Callithrix jacchus: one gene and its partners. The protein of the gene in region 5 interacts with the protein of the main gene of each other region in a pairwise test. Links are inferred from orthologs where the notes say so. Each region holds a gene or a part of one and is shown on either strand. Other genes may lie near its edges.

Region 1 (2,534 bases), on a different chromosome or scaffold from region 5:
GCTCCAATCCCTAAACCTAGATTTCTCTCCACTGCCATTGAATTATGGCAAGTTTTATCTTCGGTCCTCCAAGTCATGAAGGGGCAGCCAGGAAACCCAGGACAACGCCCCCGAGTTGAGAGGTCTGTGGTGTGCATGCTGGAGAAAAAGCTTAGAGCCAGATCAGAACACCAGCAAGGAAAGAAGGCTGGACACCAGGCTTTCAGAGGCTGCTGTGAGGGAACCCTGCTCCCCTCTTGCCAAGGCCCAGCCCAAGCCCCAGGCTTCAGGTAATCGGATTAAGCAGCCTGCCTTGGCTCCCAGCTTCTAGCAGGAACAGCTCCAGCTCTGAGCAGCCCTGCCTAGCCTGTGCCATGACTCAGGGTATAGGAGTGGCCCAACTCCCTCTACCAGCAAACTTGGGGGAGGAGAGAAGCAATAAGGCACAAGACCCCCTCCCCTCTGGACCAGGAGCGAGTACCTGGACCTGGGGAGTTTAAGAATGTCAGAAATTCCCAGAAGACAGACCATCTTTGGGACAAGAGACAATGAGAAATCAGGTATGGAGGAAAAGAAAATGAGCCAGGGGCTAGGGCAGGTCAGTCCTAAAGAAACAGATGGACCAAACTGGGGACAAAGGCGGCACAGGAGCCACAGAGCCATTTGGATTTTTTTATTCTCTTTTTAAATACTGTACAGTGAAAAATAAATACGCCTTCTCATCCACCAGACAAGGTCGGTCCCCTCCCCCTGGGGACCTTGTCACCCCCCTTCATATACACCCCTGGTTCTACTCCAAAACCTTCCCCGTGCCTCCCACCCACTTATCTCTTACTATCCCCGTCTTCCACAGTGATGAGGCCCCAGAAATGGGGGGTACAGGATGGGAGGAGGGATAGCAGGGGAGGCCCCCTGAACGGTCAAATCTGGGTGGGTCAAGGAGCACCCCCCCACCAACAGGTGGAGAATGGGGGTGTTCAGAGAGAGATTGGGGCATTAGAGGATAAAGGCACATCCAGTCTGATGGGGGAGAGAGGCTCCCCTTACCCTGGGGGTAGGGTGGACAAGAGGGAGGGGGTATGACCCTGTTACACACCCCTCCACTAGCTCCTGGAGGTTGGGGGGTACCCAAGCTGCTGTGCCACCCCCCTCCCCCCTAGATAAGAGCAGCTCCAGCGCAGGTCAGTTGGGCCTGTGAGGGCCATGGTGTTGGGCAGCAAGCGAGATGGAGAAGGGAGGGATGCAGGCTGGAGGTTTTATGAAACCCCATTCACCATACTACCCAACTCCAAGGGGGCAGAGAGCTCCCCATTCTCCGAGGGGCCCTTAGGAAGCTTGCTGACAGAGTCACCCTGAGAAGCAAGTGGGAAAGAAAACAAAATCAAGCACACGGTGAGCAGAAACTCAGGTGAGGGACATTTCCTACCATCCAAGCACTCCTGGCATCTGGTGATCCAGAGGTTGGTTCCTTGATCCCATGATCCAGTCTCTCTTACTTGGGATCCAGAAAATGTGAACTACATAATCCTCTCTATCCCATTCGAAGTTGACACTATTCTAAACTCCATCAGACACAACTGCCTCTGCAATTCAGTAACAGATTTCTTTTTTCTTTTGAGACAGAGTTTCGCTCTTGTTGTCCAGGCTGGAGTGCAATGGCGCAATCTCAGCTCACAGCACCCACTGCCTCCCTGGTTCAAGCCATTTTCCTGCCTCATCCTCCCAAGTAGCTGGGATTATAGCCATGCACCACCACACCCAGCTAATTTAGTATTTTTTAGTAGAGACAGGGTTTCTCCATGTTGGTCAGGCTGATCTCGAACTCACACCCTCAGGTGATCCACCCGCCTCAGCCTCCCAAAGTGCTGTGATTACAGGCGTGAGCCACCACCCCCAGCCTCGGTAAATTTCTTTGTGAAATTTTGTGCACCCCCTGCCCCATAATAATAAAAAAAAATGATAGAGTAAACCACATCTTGCCTGCCTACCTTCTGTCCTGAAAGAGAGTCCTCTGAGGGTTTAGTGCGTTCCAGGGGTGGCCGCTGGCGGCTCTGAGACTCTGCTCGTGAGATATAGTCAGCCACAGTCACTAGGGAAGGCAGGACATTAAGACTTTGAGATAGTTTGCCATGAAAATTACAAAAGAAAAAAAAAAGATGGAATTCTGGTAGCCAGCCCAAGATACCCACTGAACCCGAACCCCTGATTTTCACAGGGTAGGAAGTATCCCATTCTCTCAGCTCTGAGGAAGAATTCTGGTGTCCAAAGTTGGCTGACCTGGTTGGCGGTCTCCACTGATAGAACCATCAGTCCGATTACCACGGTTACGGCGGCGGCGGCTGCGATTACGACGTTGGGGTCTTGATTCGTCTTCTGTAGGGTAGGGAAAAACCAGAGTCACACATCCAACCTCCCACCCTCAATTCTTACCCATCTCTAATTTTCCAGATCCCAGGCACACCCTCACCCAGGCCATTCTCTGTCATGTTGGGCCCATCTGATTCCAGGCCTCCATCTATGATGGTCCTGTCTTCATCAGTGCGGCGGCGGCGGGA
Region 2 (4,219 bases), on a different chromosome or scaffold from region 5:
TTGTATGCATTCCTTCATTGAATGACAGCTACCTATATTATCCTCATTTTATAAGATGAGATAACAGAGATTCAGAAAGGTTAGACTCAGCTACCATGGGCCTGTCTGACTCTAAAGTTCATCTGTTAAAAACTGGGGCACTCTGGAAGTGAGATTCCTTGGTGATGAACAGAAATATTGCTTAGTGGCTGTGTTTTTGTATCTGGCAATTTTCTCATGTTTGAGTCTTATATTCACAATCGATATCTTTATATTACACAATAACATAGAATTAGAGTCATTTAATCCAGGGTTAATATCATTAAGTCATGACTATTTATGAAACATTTCTTACAATATCTGAGATGACTTGATATGGCAAGAAATGTGTGTGATTTTAGGTCTCATTTCGTAGTTGGCTGCAGAAACCTCTTTTAGAGGAGGGATGCTTTCTCTTTGTATCCTAATTTCTCCTTAGTATAGTTCCATACCTCTTTGAAGGGTGTGTAAGAATGCTGGAATGCAGTACCTTGTCATTCGATATGCATTAAGATGTGATCATATGGGGAATAGAAAAATGTGAACGATCCCATTCCTTTTCTACAGAAGGCAGGAAGCTCGTATTTGATAACTCTTACTATAAACTAAAAAACGTTTTGTATGTAGTATACCCGTAGCCATCACCCTGCAAGGTAGATACTGCTCCCCGCCAATTTACGGAGAATACTGAGGCTTTAAGGTTGTAGATAGACCAAGACCACACAAATAGAGAGTGGCAGGCTGTGGGTTGGGCTTTAAAATCCATGTTCGTCCGTGACTCTCTGTGTGTTCTAGTAAATCTGCTAGAATTTGAGTATTTGCCAATGATTAATGCTCTGCTCTATGCCAGGTAGTTCATGATATTTTTCAAGAATCAGAAAATCCTGACGAAGGCACACCGTTTCCCCTTCTGTAGGTGCCTTGGAAGTGACCGTTGTGGACGCAGAGCGCATCCTTTCTGATCCGACACCTTCTTCCCTGCCCTGGCAGGAGGGTCAGTGTCTTTTCCGCAGGGCTGGGAGCCCCCTTAGACCGGTCATTTCCCATCCCTTACGATGATCCCAAAGACAACTTTTCTCCCCACGGAGCTGCCATTCCACAGGCGGCCGCCAGAGGTCCCCGTTCGGAGACCCCGCGAGACAGTCGAGCCCCGGCCGGCTGCGCGGCGCGCTGGGTGCCTGTGGGGGCTGCTCCGGAGCGGCGGCGGCTGCAGCTGGAGCCAGGCGCTCGCCCGTCCGCCGGTTGGCTCGCTGGGACCGCGCGCACCGGCCGCAGAGTCCCTCGCGTGGACTGGCAAGCGACGCCCCTCCTGCCTCGAGCTCACCCTTTTCCTCTCGCGCTGGCTGCCGCTGACCCGGCGAAGGGAGCCTACCGGGCCCTGGGCTGGCGGTAAAACGCCACGGTGAGTAAGAACCCTCTCCGAGCGAGGGGAGGCGGCGCAGCCCGGTGGCTACTCGCTCGGGATCTCCGCCGGGCGGGCAGCGAGGTGCGGGGCGCACCTGGGCGCGGGTGCGGGAGGGTGCGGGAGGGTGCGGGAGGCGGCGGACCTGTCCCCTGCCGGCCGGCCGCGGGCTTCCGGGACTGGAGTCCGCTTCGGACCCCTGCCTGCGTCGGGGCTTCGGGCCGGCTTCTCGTGCGCACTTCCCGGCAGGAACCAGGGTCGCCCACTTTCCACCCCGGGATCCGTGGCCGTGATTTGAAAACATATAAATCAATAAGATCGTCCTCCTTTCAGGGTGCGTCTGTCTCCGAGCCCATCCCTAGCCGCGGACGCCTGCCGGGTGCGTGTTGGGCTGTGGGGTGGCGGGAAGACAAACTTTACACAAGTGCGCCCGGGCTGGGGACCACGCTTGGGCGTCCTGATCCTGAGGGAGGAGTCTCAGCTCGAGGCAGCGTCGGAACTCCGCGAGGTCTGCCGGGTCGCCCCCGGGGCTGTTGATGCCTCATGGAGGTGGGGAGCGTAGAAAGGCCGTACAAATCGCGCTTAACTTTGGGGCCAACAACTGTCAAACATCTGGAATCCCAGCCCCTCCCTTTCCTTGAACTGGGGAAGAAGGCGAAAATCCTTAAACTTTTCTTTGATTGCCCCTTCCCACCTTCAGACCACTGCAGGGAGGGTAAAGCGCCGACCCCTGGCGCCTGGCAAGTACCAGAGACCCTAAATCTCTAGGGAGCCCCCTTGCCTTCTTTCCCGACCCTCTCTGCTGACCCTCCCGGCAGGGACCTTGCGGCACTGTCGACTGGGATCGTGGCAAATGGCCTTTTGTTTCTCCGTGTTTCCCCTATTGTTTGCCTTTCCAACATCTGGTGGGGCCTGGGGAGAGAAGGCAGCCCCTCTGGTCCCCCTCGTCGGCCCCCACGCCAGCTCCGGCAGGGGATCCCAGCTGGGAAAGCGGAGGAGCCGGACCCCGCGAGGCCGCCCCACCCGGTCCTTGCGGTTAGAGGGCGGAGGGAAAGTTGTTTCTTCCCCGCCTCCGCGGCTGCCTGTGGCCCGGGGCGCATTTCTCAGATCTCAGCCCAGGCGCGCCGCAAAGGGCGCAAATCCTAGAAGGGTGCTGCTTTCGACACAGTGGTAGCGGGTTCCGCCTCAATCCAGAGTGTCCTGTGGTTGGTTCCAGAGGATTTCAATCTCTAGCTAAAGGCGTTGGGGTTGGGCTGCTCCCAGGGCAGTGGGAGGGGATCAGGGCACCTCTGGTAGGCGGAAAGCCGAGATTCTGGGGTCCATGAGTTTCCAACGGCGGGAGGGCAGGCTAGTCGCCAAAAAGAGAACCTAGATGCAAATAATGAGGAAGCCTCATGACATTGCCGGGAAATAGTGGTGTGGTGGCTCACTCCGGAATGAACGTGGATTTCTGGCTTTGAGTACCACTCGAAGTTTAAATCCCAAGTCCCCTTCCTGCATTGTAGAAAAAGAGGACTGAGGACACAACGCAGGTACGGCCAGAGCACTGTTCCCGCTTCCACGTCCCAGTGAACAAGTGGCTTAGGATGGCCCCGAGTTCCCCTGAGCGTGCGCCTGTTGGGTTGCAGGCTGCCCTGTTTCCCTGCGCAAGTTAGATGCTTACACTTTGTGTTCATTCTTAGTGAGTGGATTATTGATTAAAGAACTAGGGCAAAAGCAGTGTAACCATTCGAGAAGGCAGGGTCGCCAGATGGTGCCCAGCGACTTGTGTTGCCTCTGAGGGGAGGCCGACTGAGACTGTGCACCTGTTGGAACCTATACCTCCCCATAGCCTTGCAGTTGACCTGCTGTTGCCGGCTTTTCCCGTGGGATCCCCAGCCAGCCCCTCTTCCAAGGAAGCTCAATTACACTTTCGATTCCTCTTCAACCCAGGGGAAGAGGCTTATGTGGAACACTTATGATCTATGTACCCACTCAGACGTTGTCAGTGGATACCAGGTGCTTGGTCTGCAGTTCTGAGAGTTTTCCCTTTGCCAACTTAACAGAACTTTTGCGTTTCCATTTAACAAAAAAGAAGCGAGACAGCTAAGCCGGGAATGTGACACACAGAGCACTTTCTCGAGTGATTTCTGGGTACTATGTCTCTTTACCTTACCAACGGTGGAACCAGCAACAGAAAACAACATTTTTGAAGTACTGAAAGGTACTTTACAAGAATTTCATTATGAAAATTATCCCCAAGGAGTCCTTTGAAATTTAGCAACAGCAGCAACCCAGAAGCAACAAAAATGACCAAAGTTACTCAAGAAGTACCCAAAGGCATCACTGGTCTAGCCCAGTAAGAAAAACAGGGCACTACTGTCTACCCCACTGGTCTATCCCACTAAGAAAAATAGTGGAAGCTAAGTTTGTACAGTTTCTGTTAGAATTAAAAACTTCCCCCAAAAAAAACCATTCTGGGAAAAATAAAAAATATTGATAGGTGAAAATGAATATAAAAGGGGGAGATATTATAAACAAGGTTCCAGTGAACAATCTTATCTACTTGGAATCAATTTCTGAAGACATGATACCTAGCTCACAGGGGTTGATGCCTTCTCTAGGATATTTGAGATTGCCGTATTTCCCTGAAAAGTCCCAGTTTACTTTCTCCCCAGTTATGCACAAAGGCTCCTGTGTCCTATACCTTACCCCCCACTCACATTTTATATTATAATGCTTTTTCATTTCTGCCATACTGATGGAAGGGGAGTAGTTTGTCATCGTATTTTGCATTTAAAAAATCAAGTTGGATTAAAC
Region 3 (3,764 bases), on a different chromosome or scaffold from region 5:
TACAATAAAGACTTCAGATTTTATTCTAGAAGAGACGGAAATTCACTGAAGGGTTTTCAGCAGGTGAATGTTAATCTGATTTGGCTTTAAAATATCACTAGGCATAGTTGATTTTACTTGGGCAAGGTAAAATTTTCATAAATTGAGTGAAGGGAAAGAGGAAAAAAGAATTTGGAGGCTACTGTAGCAGTCCTGGCAAAATATAATAGTGATTTAGATCACAATGGTCAGATTCAGGGTTTATTTTGAAAGTAGAGCTGAAGAGACTTGCGGAAGAAATTGTAAGAAAAAGAAATAAGTCAACTATTATAAAATTGTCTAATATTGTTTCACTGCAAAAAATTAAAAACTATCTTAAGTGAGACACTTCTCACAATGCTAAAAATAAACTTATACTTCATTAATTCAACCTCAGCATAAATCCAATATGATGCTTTATTTATATGGATTTAAAAATAAGGAGCAGTTGTAAAGAAACTTTCATAAATACAAGCCATGTATAGGAAAATAATAGGATGTCAAGCTTGAAAGTACAGTATTAGGTCTGAATCAAAAAGTAGTATCTCAAAATGTGTCTTCTTTTTAACATCTACTAGCCATAAACTGGTATTCTTACATGAATTTGATAATTCAAACATTTAGGAGTCTCAGTAATTTAAGTCTTTGGAACAAGAGACAGGATGAGAAGTGTTTTAATTGGAGAAAAGTTACATTGATTATGATCACCAGTTGACAAAGGAGATATAAACACTGTTTAATACTAGGCAAAATGTCAAAGGTTTTCTCTACTACTAGATCAGGTGCATAAAGAAGGCTACTGTAGCAGTCCTGGCACTATAGCCTAAGTCACCAGTGACAGAAATGCCTTACTTTGATAAAATATGTAACAGAACTAGAAGACAATTAAAATATTTTTAAAACACCTTACTCTGGCAGCAGAAGCAAAAGAATCAGGGCCATGTGCTGCATTTCTTATGCCATCTGTTCCAAAGACGGCTCTAATGCTTCCAGAAGCATCTGTGCATGCCACCCCAGAGTTTGCAGGTCCCAGTAGTCTTTTCCATTCACATATAGCATCATCTCTTAAAATTTCCATGGCAATAATAGGACCAGTTGTAATAAACTGGATCAGCTCACTACAAAACAGATAGAAGATTAGTTTGCTTCTTTCTTCTGTCAACCTAGGTATCTGTCTTAATAAAAGAATATATTTAAATTGGATTTTTTTCAACATAGAAAAGAATATTATACTCTCAGAACCATTGAACATAGTTAATTTCACATGGGCAGGAAACACTTTTCATAAATTGAGTGTCTTCCAGTGGCTCAATTCACTTCAAATCACTAGTAATGTCAAACTACTATTAGCAGAAAAATCACTGTTCTGTTGAATTAAGACTATTTCATTGACTTAACATGCATATTGTTGACCTATGCTTTTCCCAGTGCTCTAACAGGTACAGTGATTTTCCTTTTTATTTTCATGTGTTTACCACTGCTGTCAAGTACAATTTCACAATATGCAAATTGATGAGAGGGATGGATGGCTTGGAACTTATAGTAAGAATTTATTTCTTTTTGTGTAAAACTATTAGAATTCAAAGACTGACAAAGAACTCTCTCAATCAATAAACACTGAGTTGGTTTGGTGATTTAAAAAATCTCAGCACTTTGGGAGGCTGGGGTGGGCAGATCACAAGGTCAGGAGTTAGACACCAGCCAGGCCAATATGGTGAAACCTGGTCTCTTCTAAAAATAAAAAAATTTTTAAAAATTAGCCAGGTGTGGTGGCGGGTGCCTGTAGTCCCAGATACTCCAGAGGCTGAGGCAAGATAATTGCTTGAACCAGGGAGGAGGAGGTTGCAGTGAGCCGAGATTGTGCCACTGCACTCCAGCCTGGGCAAAAGAGTGAGAGTCTGTATCAAAAAACAAAAACAAAAAAATAACAACAGGCTTTAAAAAACCAACAGGCTTCAAGAAATATCCTTTTATTAGTATAAAAAACTACTCTGGGTTATTCCTATATTAAATTATTAGAGCATACACATAAGTTCTTGATTAAAAATCCAGCACTGTGTCACAGTCCCCCAAGATAACAAAAAACAATACCTCATTCTATTTTCCACTTCTATATGTGTACTGGGTGCAATGACAAGTTTAGCTATGAAATAAGTGACATCGTCTTTCTAACTGTGTTAAGCAGGGACAAAGTACTTTTTAGAGTAAGCCCATGTTTTTCTCTCACCCAAAGTACAGAGAAGAGACCCTCCTGGAGAAAGGAACACAGTGTGACAGGCTCATTTGTGCTCACTAACTTATGACTATTTTTTACATACTTCCTTCCACCCAGCACCATGTTATGTAAGTCAGCTCTCCTCAGTACTTCCTTTTTAAATTGCTCCCATTCATTTTGAAGAATATTTCTAAGAAATAGCATGTACAAAGAAGTATTCATGTCTTCTACCCTAAGAGGTCTATAATACCTCCTCATACATTTTCTGCCAGACCTTTGCTGCCAAACAAACAAACAAAACCCCCAAGACCAACCAACAGATTAAAGAAAACCCAAATCAAGGGAGCAAACCATGTTTATTCATTCAACAAGCATTTACTGATTACCTACAACATATCAGCATCTGTGCCATAAAACAAGATCCTTCCTTCAAGACACTTATAATTTAATGCCCTATTAATACAGAATTCTCAAAACACACAAGAGAATAAGCCTATGAAAACTGCATGTAATAACACAGGGAATGATGTGCCTGATCATAGACACTGTCTTATGAAACTCTTTCTAATTACTTCACCTGGTCTTTTGTTACATCGTTCTCATTAACAGGCAACTAGTTAAGTTACTACTTTAAGAAAATTTACTGCGTGCAAATCACATATAAATCATTAAATTAGTTGTAATTCAATGCTATAAACATATACAAAGTTTACACTAAAAGATAATTTCCACCAATATTCTAGAAAATTGTATATAGCTATTCTAACAAGGCTTGGGAATATTTTATAATGCTTGATTTGAAATAATCCAAAGCATAATAATTTTCTTATATAAATTTTTTTTTAAAACCGACTACTCAGTGCAGGATACCAAATAACATGCCTACTGTAGCCATTTGGTTTGGCTAACATACCATTCTTTCTTATTAGAAATGTAAATACTCTGTTATCAGTAACAGTAATACGAGTATATAAAATATTCACTTAAATTTGATTACTTCTCAACCATTTAGAATATATAGATTCAGTGTAACATATATTTCTTATAGGTCAAGGAACAAAATATATATCAAACTATTTAGCTAAAATAGAAAGGTTACATGAACATTGCTTTATGTATATAAGACTACCAAAATATTTGAAAAGTACAACAGGCTACAGTAACCAAAACAGTATGGTTCTGGTACAAAAACAGACACATGGATCACTGGAACACAATAGAGAACCCAGAAATAAAGCCACACATCTACAGCCATCTGAACTTTGACAAAGTCAACAAAAATAATCAATGGGGAAAGGATTCTCTATTAAATAAATGGTACTGGGATAGCTGTCTAGCCATAAGCAGAAGAATGAAACTGGTTCCCTAACTTTAACCATATACAAAACTTCAAGATGGATTAAAGACTTATAAGTAAGACCTCAAACTATAAGAATCTTAGAAGAAAACCTAGGAAACACCATTCTGGACACTGGCCTTGAAAAAGAATTTACGACTAAGTCCTCAAAAGTAATGGCAACAAAAACAACAA
Region 4 (4,437 bases), on a different chromosome or scaffold from region 5:
GACCAGCCTGGGTAATATAGCAAGACCCCTCTATCTCTACAAAGAATTAAAAATTAAAAAACTTCGCCAGACCTGGTGTCGCACACCTGCAGTCCCAGATACTCAGCAGTCTGAGGCAGAAAGATAGCTTGAACCCAAGAGCTCAAGACTGCAGCTCCAATCTGGGTAACAGAATGAAACCCTGTCTCTAGGGGGTAACAAAAGGCACATATTATGAGGACGGGCCTTGTGTGTGGTAGCAAGAAGAGCTAGGCCCGAGAGGGACCACCCCTGAGGGTTGGTGGGCTGCCCAGGGGTGGTGCCCAGCACTGGACAATCCACACAGCTCCTCTCTGATTGTCATGCCTTCCCAACACACCTGTAAAACAAGAGTTGTTATGACCCTACTCTACAAATCAGGAAACTGAGGCCCACAGCTCACCCAGGGGCACAGAGCAAGACAGCCAGCAGCGACCAGCCATCTGGCTCCAGGTCTCGAGCTTTGTCCACACCACCAAGCCTGTCTTCCTAGCAGGGAGGTGCAAAAAACCAGCCAAGGAAGAGGAAAGGGGTGGCCTCTGTGGGGTGAGGAGCCAGACGGCCTGCTTCGAAGATCCCTTCCAGCTGGCCTTGACTTCCACTGCTGAAATGCGAGTGAAGGAGGAAAGGTCGGGATGGGAGAGGAGCCGGCGCTCGCCACAACAACCCCCACCCTGCTCTCCATGCGCCAGGTCCTGCACGCTGGGTGGGAGGGTGACGACAAGGATGGAGGAGCAGGGCCCCAGCCCCGCCCTCCCAGGACGCACCGTCTGCAGCGGCGAGGGCCTTGAGCTGCGTGGGAAATGAGGTGGGCAGAGGGCCACTGATGAGGGTGGGCCGGCTGACTGCAGCCCTCTCTCAGCCCCCGACACCTCCCGCCACCCCCGGCCCTGCCCACTCCCTCTTCCAGCGCCGGTCACTCTTCTTGCCCAAGCCAAGCCTTTAGCACTTAGCCTCGAACCGTCAGCTGATTCCTCATCTAGGACTACGCCCATCTCTCCAGCTACAACAGAATATCCTGAAAGGCAGGGGTTTACGTCCCCCACCCCAGGGGCCACATGACATAACTCTTTAGTAGAGTGAGAACAAAGTTATTTGGGATGTGATCAACTCCGGCAATGCCGTAGTGTGTTTACGGCAACAGCGGGACGGTAGGTCCAAGGGGCGGCCCCGGATCTCCGTGACGTCACCTGGCTTGTACGTCACTGTCGCTTGCGCCGGCGGCGAAAAGCACCCTGCATGAGAGATAACTTGACCATCGGAGCCCCTGCGGACCAGTGCGCGCTCAGGCAGTCGGTGAAGGGGGCAGCTGGGAGACGTCCCGAGCGTGCGGGACCGACAGGCGGCAGAAGCCCGGTGGGAGTCCGTGGGGTTCCGGCCGGGAACCCACCCTGCTCCCAAGCGGCCCCGCCCCCTCGGTGACTGTCGCGGGCCGGCCAATCCGGGCAGGCCGCGGCGCCGCGCAGCCTATCAGCGACCAGGGCTTGCGTGCGCTTCCGCGTTCGCGTGCGCGCCCAGGCCCGCCGCCGCCGGATCCCGCACTTGTCCGCGGCTCGGTCCGGCGGGTCAGCCAGGACCCGGGCCGTCGCTTCCCGGGGGACCCGATGGCTTCCGAGGGTATGGCGGGAGTGCTGGCGGCCGTGCTGGCCGGCCAGGGGCTGCGCGTGCAGAGCTGCGACTCGGCGCCGGCCGGGGAGCCACCGGCACCGGTGCGGCTGCGGAAGAACGTGTGCTACGTGGTGCTGGCGGTGTTCCTCAGCGAGCAGGTGAGCGGCCGCCAGCCGGGCCCGCAGGGCCTCGGGAGCGCGCAGCCAGCCCAGGTGGGAACGGAAGACCCAACGGCCACAGCCAGCGCTGCCGCGTGCATGGCGCTGCCCAGTTTTGCAAAGCACTCCCATTCCCACTCGCATCTGTGTCCTGCAGTCGTCCCAATATGGAGAAGAGGAAACTCAGGCCGGGGGCCTGTTCGTCTCACCCCACTAGGCCTCATTCTTTCCCTTCCCAGAGTCTAGCGGAGTGCCCAGGACCCCTCAGATAGCAGTCGCTCAACCCTGGCTTACCTCAGGCCTTTGGTGTGGATCCCCGTACTGGGCAACTAGAAGGGGCCAGGGCCATAGGGCAGGGTTGTACAAGGTGGAGGTCGGGGGTCGTGTTTCAAAGCCAGACCCCAGGGTGAGGATCCATCACAAACAGTTCATAGGCCACGCCGCTGGAGACAAGAGATACCCAATGACATGTACAGACGTAAGTCAATGCAAGACTGACACATGGTGGCCCTCACTCTGGGGCCTCATCTCCAGCCCCTGAAGCAGCTTCCAGGAATCTCAGCCCTTTCTGAAGTGCAAGTTTTCTTAACTCCAGAGAGGGACTAATTGCAGGGAGAAGGTTGCAGCCCCCAGCAACTTGAGGGCAGATCTCCCGCAGCGCTAGCTGGTTTAAGGGCGATCTTGGGCGACTGTGTTTGAGATGCCCCCTGGTCCCTGGGCTGGGGAAGGCTATGGCAGGAAGTGAAGATGCTCTCTCCCCTCAGGATGAGGTGCTACTGGTCCAGGAGGCCAAGAGAGAGTGTCGGGGGTCGTGGTACCTGCCCGCGGGGAGAATGGAGCCTGGGGAGTCCATCGTGGAGGCGCTGCAGCGGGAGGTGAAGGAGGAGGCGGGGCTGCACTGTGAGCCTGAGACACTGCTGTCCGTGGAGGAGCGGGGCCCCTCCTGGGTCCGCTTCGTGTTCCTCGCTCGCCCCACAGGTATGGCCTACCTGGAGGCAGTATGAACAGGGCCAGTTGACATCTTTTCCCCAGCTGCTTGGTGAGGTGAGCCCCTCCACAGCCAGTCCTGTTATGGCACTCTGGCATGGGCAGATTCCAGCCTGCAGGCTGGGGGCCTCTCTCCTGGGTCAGGGATGTCTGTTGAAGCTGCCAACACTGCACTTCTCTCCACACAGACCCTCTGCCCCATCCCCCACATCTCCCCAGGTGGAATTCTCAAGACTTCCAAGGAGGCTGATGCAGAGTCCCTGCAGGCTGCCTGGTACCCACGGACCTCCCTGCCCACTCCACTGCGAGCCCATGACATCCTGCACCTGGTTGAGCTCGCTGCCCAGTATCGCCAGCAAGCCAGGCACCCTCTCATTCTGCCCCAAGAGCTGCCCTGTGATCTGGTCTGCCAGCGGCTTGTGGCCACCTTTACCAGTGCGCAGACAGTGTGGGTGTTGGTTGGCACAGTGGGGATGCCTCACTTGCCTGTCACTGCCTGTGGCCTCGCCCCTTCGGAGCAGAGGGGTGGCATGAAGATGGCTGTCCTGCGGCTGCTGCAGGAGTGTCTGACCCTGCACCACTTGGTGGTGGAGATCAAGGGGCTGCTTGGGCTGCAGCACCTGGGCCGAGATCACACTGATGGCATCTGTCTGAATGTGCTGGTGACTGTGGCTTTTCGGAGCCCAGGGATCCAGGATGAACCCCCGAAGGTTCGGGGTGAGAACTTCATTTGGTGGAAGGTGACGGAGGAAGGCCTGCAAAGCCAGCTCCTTCAGCGGCTTCAGGGATCCTCTGTTGTCCCAGTGAACAGATAGGGCGGGGGAGGAGGTGACGAGGAGCTGGGCGGCTGTGCTCCCTCCAGTGTGGCCTTGTCTCCCTCTGAGGGAGGCAGGAGGCTGGCGACCAGGGATCTTGTTGCATTGGGAGCAGGGGTGCTTTCCTGGTCCCCAGAAGAGATGCTTTGAGGAGCTTTCCTCTAGATCGCACAGGGACAGTGCCTTTAACCAAGCAAGGAATCCAAAGCTCAGGACCTGGCCACTCTTCGGGCACACTGGCACTTCTCCCCGGGGGTTGGGAGCTTTCTGCACTCCCAGTGGTGTCTTGTCATCACAGTTTGTGTTTTCCTTGGGAAAGGCCTGCATCCTGATCCCTCCAGGCCCTTAGAGCTGGGAGGGGCCCTGGGGAAGGTCTCCTGAGGGAGGAGCCCTTGCTCAGTAAAGAGGTGTTGCTTACCTTGCCTCCCTGCCTAGATGTCTCTGTGGGGACAAAGTGATGTGGACTGCGTCCAAGAGCTGCTCCTCCCCTTGTGCCACCGACAGCCACCTATGTCTTTCCCAGTGCACTGACAATGCGGGCCAGCCTGCTGTCCAGGCTGGGCTGCTGGCCTGGGATGTGACTCTTGAGGGGACCCATCCCTCATGAAACACAGCTTGAGTCCTCCAAGGGTTGGGTAGTGGGTGACCCTGGGGGAGGTTCACGTGGGACAGGAGAGAGCGCTGCCTCAGCTTTCTCCTTGAGCCTCCCTGGTGTGGACCCCTCCCACGGCTCTCCTGCCTCTGCCTTTTCACAACTTCAGCCCACGCCAGACCAAACCTTGTCTTCATTTCCCCTCAGCCTGGCTGAATCACGGTAGGATTTTTTTTATTTTTTAAGTAAGCTCCGGGCA
Region 5 (4,475 bases):
ACATGATTTTTTGCTGGCCAAAACTCTACTGAAGCCCACTTAGTCCTATTCTGGCTCCATGGGAAAAAAAATTTTTTTTTTTTGAGATGGGAGTCTTGCTCTTGTTGCCCAGGCTAGAGTGCCATGGCACAATCTCAGCTCACTACAACCTCCACCTTCTGGGTTCAAGTGATTCTCCTGTCTCAGCCTCCAGAGTAGCTGGGATTACAGGCATGCGCCACCACACCTGGCTAATTTTATATATTTAGTAGAGATGGGGTTTCTCCAAATTGATCGTGCTGGTCTCAAACTCCTGACTTCAGGTGATCTCTCCACCTCAGACTCCCAAAGTGTTGGGATTACAGGCATGAGCCATCACGCCTGGCCGTGCTACATAGAAATTAACGTGACTTCAAGAGTCTCACTGCAGGCCGGGTGCAGTGGCTGATGTCTGTAATCCCTGCACTTTGGGAAGCCAAGGCAGGTGGATCACCTGAGGTCAGGAGTTCGAGACCACCCTGGCCAACATGACAAAACCCATCTCTAATAAAAATACAAAAAATTAGCCAGGCATGGTGGCGGGCACCTGTAATCCCAGCTATGCAGAAGGCTGAGGCAGAAGAATAGCTTGAACCCAGGAGGCAGAGGTTGTGGTGAGCTGAGATCATGCCACTGCCCTCCAGCCTAGGCAAGAAGAGCAAAACTCCGTTGTTGTTGTTGTGTGTTTGTTAGTTTGTTTTTAGATGGGGTCTCACTCTGTTGCCCAGGCTGGAGTAGAGTGGAACAATTTTGGCGCACTACAACCTCTACCTCCGAGGTTTGAGCAATTCTCCTGCGTCAGCCTCCCGAGGAGCTGGGATTACAGGTGTGCGCCACCACTCCGGGCTAATTTTTGTATTTTTAATAGAGATGGGGTTTCACCATGTTGGTCAGGCTGGTCTCGAACTCCTGACCTCAAGTAATCTGCCTATCTCGGCCTCCCCAAATGTTGGGATTACAGGCATGAGACACTGTGCCCAGCTCTGTCTCAAAAAAAAAAAAAAAGTCTCACTGCAGAATTATGTAGTAAAGAGAGAATGTATGCTTGTCTTTGCTTGCTGGTGACCTTGTGCTGCATCAGCACCTCAGTGTCTTATCTAATAAGATGGGGGTAAGTGCCACCCTGAAGCACATTCAGAGGAGGTAAACCTATGCAAAAGTGCCAGCACAAGTACTGGCAGACAATCACTATTCAGCAGTATTAGTAATCTTTAATTGTTCACCTCACAAGGTCTTTCTGAGCACAAAGACCTCAGAATTGAGTTCCTCTACCTCAAGGCTTTGGTCTGTGATGAGGAACCAGAGGGACAGGCTGTGACAGGGCCTGACCATTTTCCATGACATTAAGCACAAAGCCAAGAGATATGCTCCAAAGTCTCATAAGATCCCTTTTCACCCTTCCTTTGATGGCCTGTCCCAAGCATATTTCCCTTTCCCCATGAAGTAAAACTTATCCTAGGACTACGTCCTTGAAGATTCCAAGATCAAAAAAAGGCCCTCAGTCTGGAATTCTGGAATATAGCTAAAAAGGTCTTCCTACTCCCTCTCCAAAGCGATATCCACATCCTGAGTGACAACAGAAGCTTAAAAGTCGGTACATACTACAGACCTCACACTGACCCCTCCCAGCCTTCATCCTTTCAGATCCCATTCTTTGATTTCCACCCCCGTTCCCACCAACCCTACTATGTGGTAGAACAGGCCAGCTCAGTCACCAGCACTCTCCCCAACTCTGGAAGTTTAACTTTTTTCAGGGATCTCTTTTCTCCAAAAAGAGATCTCCAGAGTAAGTGGCTCTCCAAAGCCAGATGAGGACCTGCCCTGCTGGATTTACACAGACTGAAATCTCAAATGCCCACATAATCAGAGAGGTAAAGTAAACGAATTAAGAAGGTGGGGGTAATTCAGTGGAGAATGGTAATTCAGTGGAGAATTCACTGTAGTAAACAGGAAAGCACACTTCTTATACAAAGGGCAAGGGCAACTCACCTCTGCCCACTATGGGATCCCACCTCTTCCCGTTTTCAGAAGCCAGAAATTCAATTTCTTTTTAGGTGAAACCTCCTGGTTTGAAAACGCTCCTTTTGAAATGTTTTAAAACATAATGCTCTAAACACAAAAGTCTGCAGCCCCCTTTCCACCAGCTTGTGGTCCTGGCCTGCGCCATGCTTTAGTGCCCTATCGATGAGCCCCAGCAATTCCCAGCGCCTCCTGCTTCTCCAAGTGTGGCCTCTTTTCCTCTCTCTACCTGGGCTTCTCCCCACTCTCCGCAGCTCGGGGTCACTTTCTTTACCGATCTCCCCTCTCTTCTGGGGGAGAGGCGCTTTCCAAGCATCTACCTGCCCAGAACCTCCCAGGAGATGCAGAGGGCCACCTGGAGAGAGGCTCTCTGACTTTTCTCCTTGGGGACCCTGAGCCACCTGAGGGAGGAGCAAGGCCTCGCCCAGCGGGTTCCCACTGCAACTGGGAAAACACGGCCTCGCCCTCAAAACCCAATAAGAGGGTGGGTGTAGGGGACACCTCTCAGAAACCCCTAACCTCCCAGTGGGTTAAAGAAGAAAGAGGAGATAGGGTCACGGGATGCGACAGAGCTGTGTAGTTTCCGGATGGGAAACCTCAGTCGTTTAGGGCACCCCTCCGCTGGAGTCACTTCAGAAGCAGTGGATTCTTGGGGAGAGGCGCCGCGGACAGGAGCGACTCCGACACAGATGGCCCTGACCCCGCGCCCCAGGTCATCGAGCGCGCAGCTGCAGTAGTTGCTGCGCCTCCCCACCCCCGCTCCTGGATGCCCCCCTTCCCTCTCGGGGCCAGGCTCAGAGCAGGAGCTCCGCCCCCAACGCGCCGCCCCAGTCCCAGCGCCTTAAAAGCCAGCGCGCACCGCCCCGCCGCGCCCTGCCTGCCGCACCTCTCCTTTCTTCTGTATCTCCAGCCGAAGCCCACGCCCGGCCCGGATCCCGGCACCATGAGCTTCGGCTCGGAGCACTACCTGTGCTCCTCCTCCTCCTCCTACCGCAAGGTGTTCGGGGACGGCTCCCGCCTGTCCGCGCGCCTCGCCGGGGCCGGCGGCGCTGGCGGCTTCCGCTCGCAGTCCCTGTCCCGCAGCAATGTGGCCTCCTCGACCGCCTGCTCCTCGGCTTCGTCGCTCGGCCTCGGCCTGGCCTATCGCCGGCCGCCGGCATCCGACGGGCTGGACCTGAGCCAGGCGGCGGCACGCACCAACGAGTACAAGATCATCCGCACCAACGAGAAGGAGCAGCTGCAGGGACTCAACGACCGCTTCGCAGTGTTCATCGAGAAGGTTCATCAGCTGGAGACGCAGAACCGCGCGCTGGAGGCCGAGCTGGCTGCGCTGCGGCAGCGCCACGCCGAGCCGTCGCGCGTCGGCGAGCTCTTCCAGCGCGAGCTGCGCGACCTGCGCGCGCAGCTGGAGGAGGCGAGCTCGGCGCGCGCGCAGGCCCTGCTGGAGCGCGACGGGCTGGCCGAGGAGGTGCAGCGGCTGCGGGCGCGCTGCGAGGAGGAGAGCCGCGGTCGCGAAGGTGCCGAGCGCGCCCTGAAGGCGCAGCAGCGCGACGTGGACGGCGCCACGCTGGCCCGCCTGGACCTGGAGAAGAAGGTGGAGTCGCTGCTAGACGAGCTGGCCTTCGTGCGCCAGGTGCACGACGAGGAGGTAGCCGAGCTGCTGGCCACGCTGCAGGCGTCGTCACAGGCCGCGGCCGAGGTGGACGTGGCTGTGGCTAAACCAGACCTGAGCTCGGCGCTGAGGGAGATCCGCGCCCAATATGAGTCCCTGGCTGCTAAGAACCTGCAGTCCGCGGAGGAATGGTACAAGTCCAAGTTCGCCAACCTGAACGAGCAGGCGGCGCGCAGCACCGAGGCCATCCGAGCCAGCCGCGAGGAGATCCACGAGTACCGGCGCCAGCTGCAGGCGCGCACCATCGAGATCGAGGGCCTGCGCGGGGCCAATGAGTCCTTGGAGAGGCAGATCCTGGAACTGGAGGAGCGGCACAATGCCGAGGTGGCTGGCTACCAGGTAAGGGCTGGGGCTGGGTGTGGGAAGGGTTGCCCTCACCTCTCCCGCGCGTTCCCGCTTCCTCTGGTAAAACTGGGCCCTAGGACTTAAGGGGAGGGCAAAAGAGAGAAGAGAAGAGCCCCGGCCGGAGGCGCTGGTAAACAAAAAGCCCTGGAGTCTTTACTAACTTTAGGGAACGCCCCTCATTTATGTTCCTGCCCCAGCCCTTCAAACAAAGAAGCCCTTAAACTTCTTTGAGGTTCGAAAACCTAACTATGCATGTCTGTCAGCAAGCGGGTATACACACACCGGTGGTCCGGAGAACACTGTCCCACCCAAAGTAGGACTGACCTTAAAGGGGCGGGTTACATGGGCGGTGCTGTCTCGGCTATCTGGCTTGTTTGGTTGACTTTGAAAGGCTTTCTGTGCGTTCTGGAAGGTATTCATG

What was found.
Region 1: the proteins of NT5C2 (region 5) and FXR2 interact in binary tests that used the Homo sapiens proteins (3 or more experiments, as listed by UniProt). The two-hybrid records come from large-scale screens. The link is inferred for Callithrix jacchus from reciprocal best matches to the Homo sapiens genes NT5C2 and FXR2.
Region 2: the proteins of NT5C2 (region 5) and MOB3B interact in binary tests that used the Homo sapiens proteins (3 or more experiments, as listed by UniProt). The two-hybrid records come from large-scale screens. The link is inferred for Callithrix jacchus from reciprocal best matches to the Homo sapiens genes NT5C2 and MOB3B.
Region 3: the proteins of NT5C2 (region 5) and NME7 interact in binary tests that used the Homo sapiens proteins (3 or more experiments, as listed by UniProt). The two-hybrid records come from large-scale screens. The link is inferred for Callithrix jacchus from reciprocal best matches to the Homo sapiens genes NT5C2 and NME7.
Region 4: the proteins of NT5C2 (region 5) and NUDT18 interact in binary tests that used the Homo sapiens proteins (3 or more experiments, as listed by UniProt). The two-hybrid records come from large-scale screens. The link is inferred for Callithrix jacchus from reciprocal best matches to the Homo sapiens genes NT5C2 and NUDT18.

Annotation. Positions count from the first base shown.
Region 1 is NC_133506.1:74,085,270-74,087,803, forward strand, and holds the end of FXR2 (RNA-binding protein FXR2), read right to left. Parts: coding exon 2,447-2,534; intron 2,353-2,446; coding exon 2,257-2,352; intron 2,069-2,256; coding exon 1,968-2,068; intron 1,332-1,967; coding exon 1,236-1,331; 3' UTR 638-1,235; downstream 1-637. UniProt on the Homo sapiens protein: mRNA-binding protein that acts as a regulator of mRNAs translation and/or stability, and which is required for adult hippocampal neurogenesis. Specifically binds to AU-rich elements (AREs) in the 3'-UTR of target mRNAs.
Region 2 is NC_133502.1:134,713,079-134,717,297, reverse strand, and holds the start of MOB3B (MOB kinase activator 3B), read left to right. Parts: upstream 1-1,159; 5' UTR 1,160-1,420; intron 1,421-4,219. UniProt on the Homo sapiens protein: Modulates LATS1 expression in the Hippo signaling pathway which plays a pivotal role in organ size control and tumor suppression by restricting proliferation and promoting apoptosis.
Region 3 is NC_133519.1:33,168,478-33,172,241, reverse strand, and holds part of NME7 (nucleoside diphosphate kinase homolog 7), read right to left. Parts: intron 1,137-3,764; coding exon 929-1,136; intron 1-928. UniProt on the Homo sapiens protein: Possesses an intrinsic kinase activity. Displays 3'-5' exonuclease activity with a preference for single-stranded DNA. Does not seem to have nucleoside diphosphate kinase activity.
Region 4 is NC_133514.1:19,378,351-19,382,787, forward strand, and holds NUDT18 (8-oxo-dGDP phosphatase NUDT18), read left to right. Parts: upstream 1-1,516; 5' UTR 1,517-1,622; coding exon 1,623-1,784; intron 1,785-2,548; coding exon 2,549-2,762; intron 2,763-2,990; coding exon 2,991-3,586; 3' UTR 3,587-4,011; downstream 4,012-4,437. UniProt on the Homo sapiens protein: Mediates the hydrolysis of oxidized nucleoside diphosphate derivatives. Hydrolyzes 8-oxo-7,8-dihydroguanine (8-oxo-Gua)-containing deoxyribo- and ribonucleoside diphosphates to the monophosphates. Hydrolyzes 8-oxo-dGDP and 8-oxo-GDP with the same efficiencies.
Region 5 is NC_133513.1:96,265,280-96,269,754, forward strand, and holds the start of NT5C2 (cytosolic purine 5'-nucleotidase), read right to left. Parts: upstream 2,981-4,475; 5' UTR 2,924-2,980; exon of another isoform or gene 2,908-2,923; intron 1-2,907. Other genes in the region: INA (alpha-internexin), read left to right, coding at 2,981-4,048. UniProt on the Homo sapiens protein: Broad specificity cytosolic 5'-nucleotidase that catalyzes the dephosphorylation of 6-hydroxypurine nucleoside 5'-monophosphates.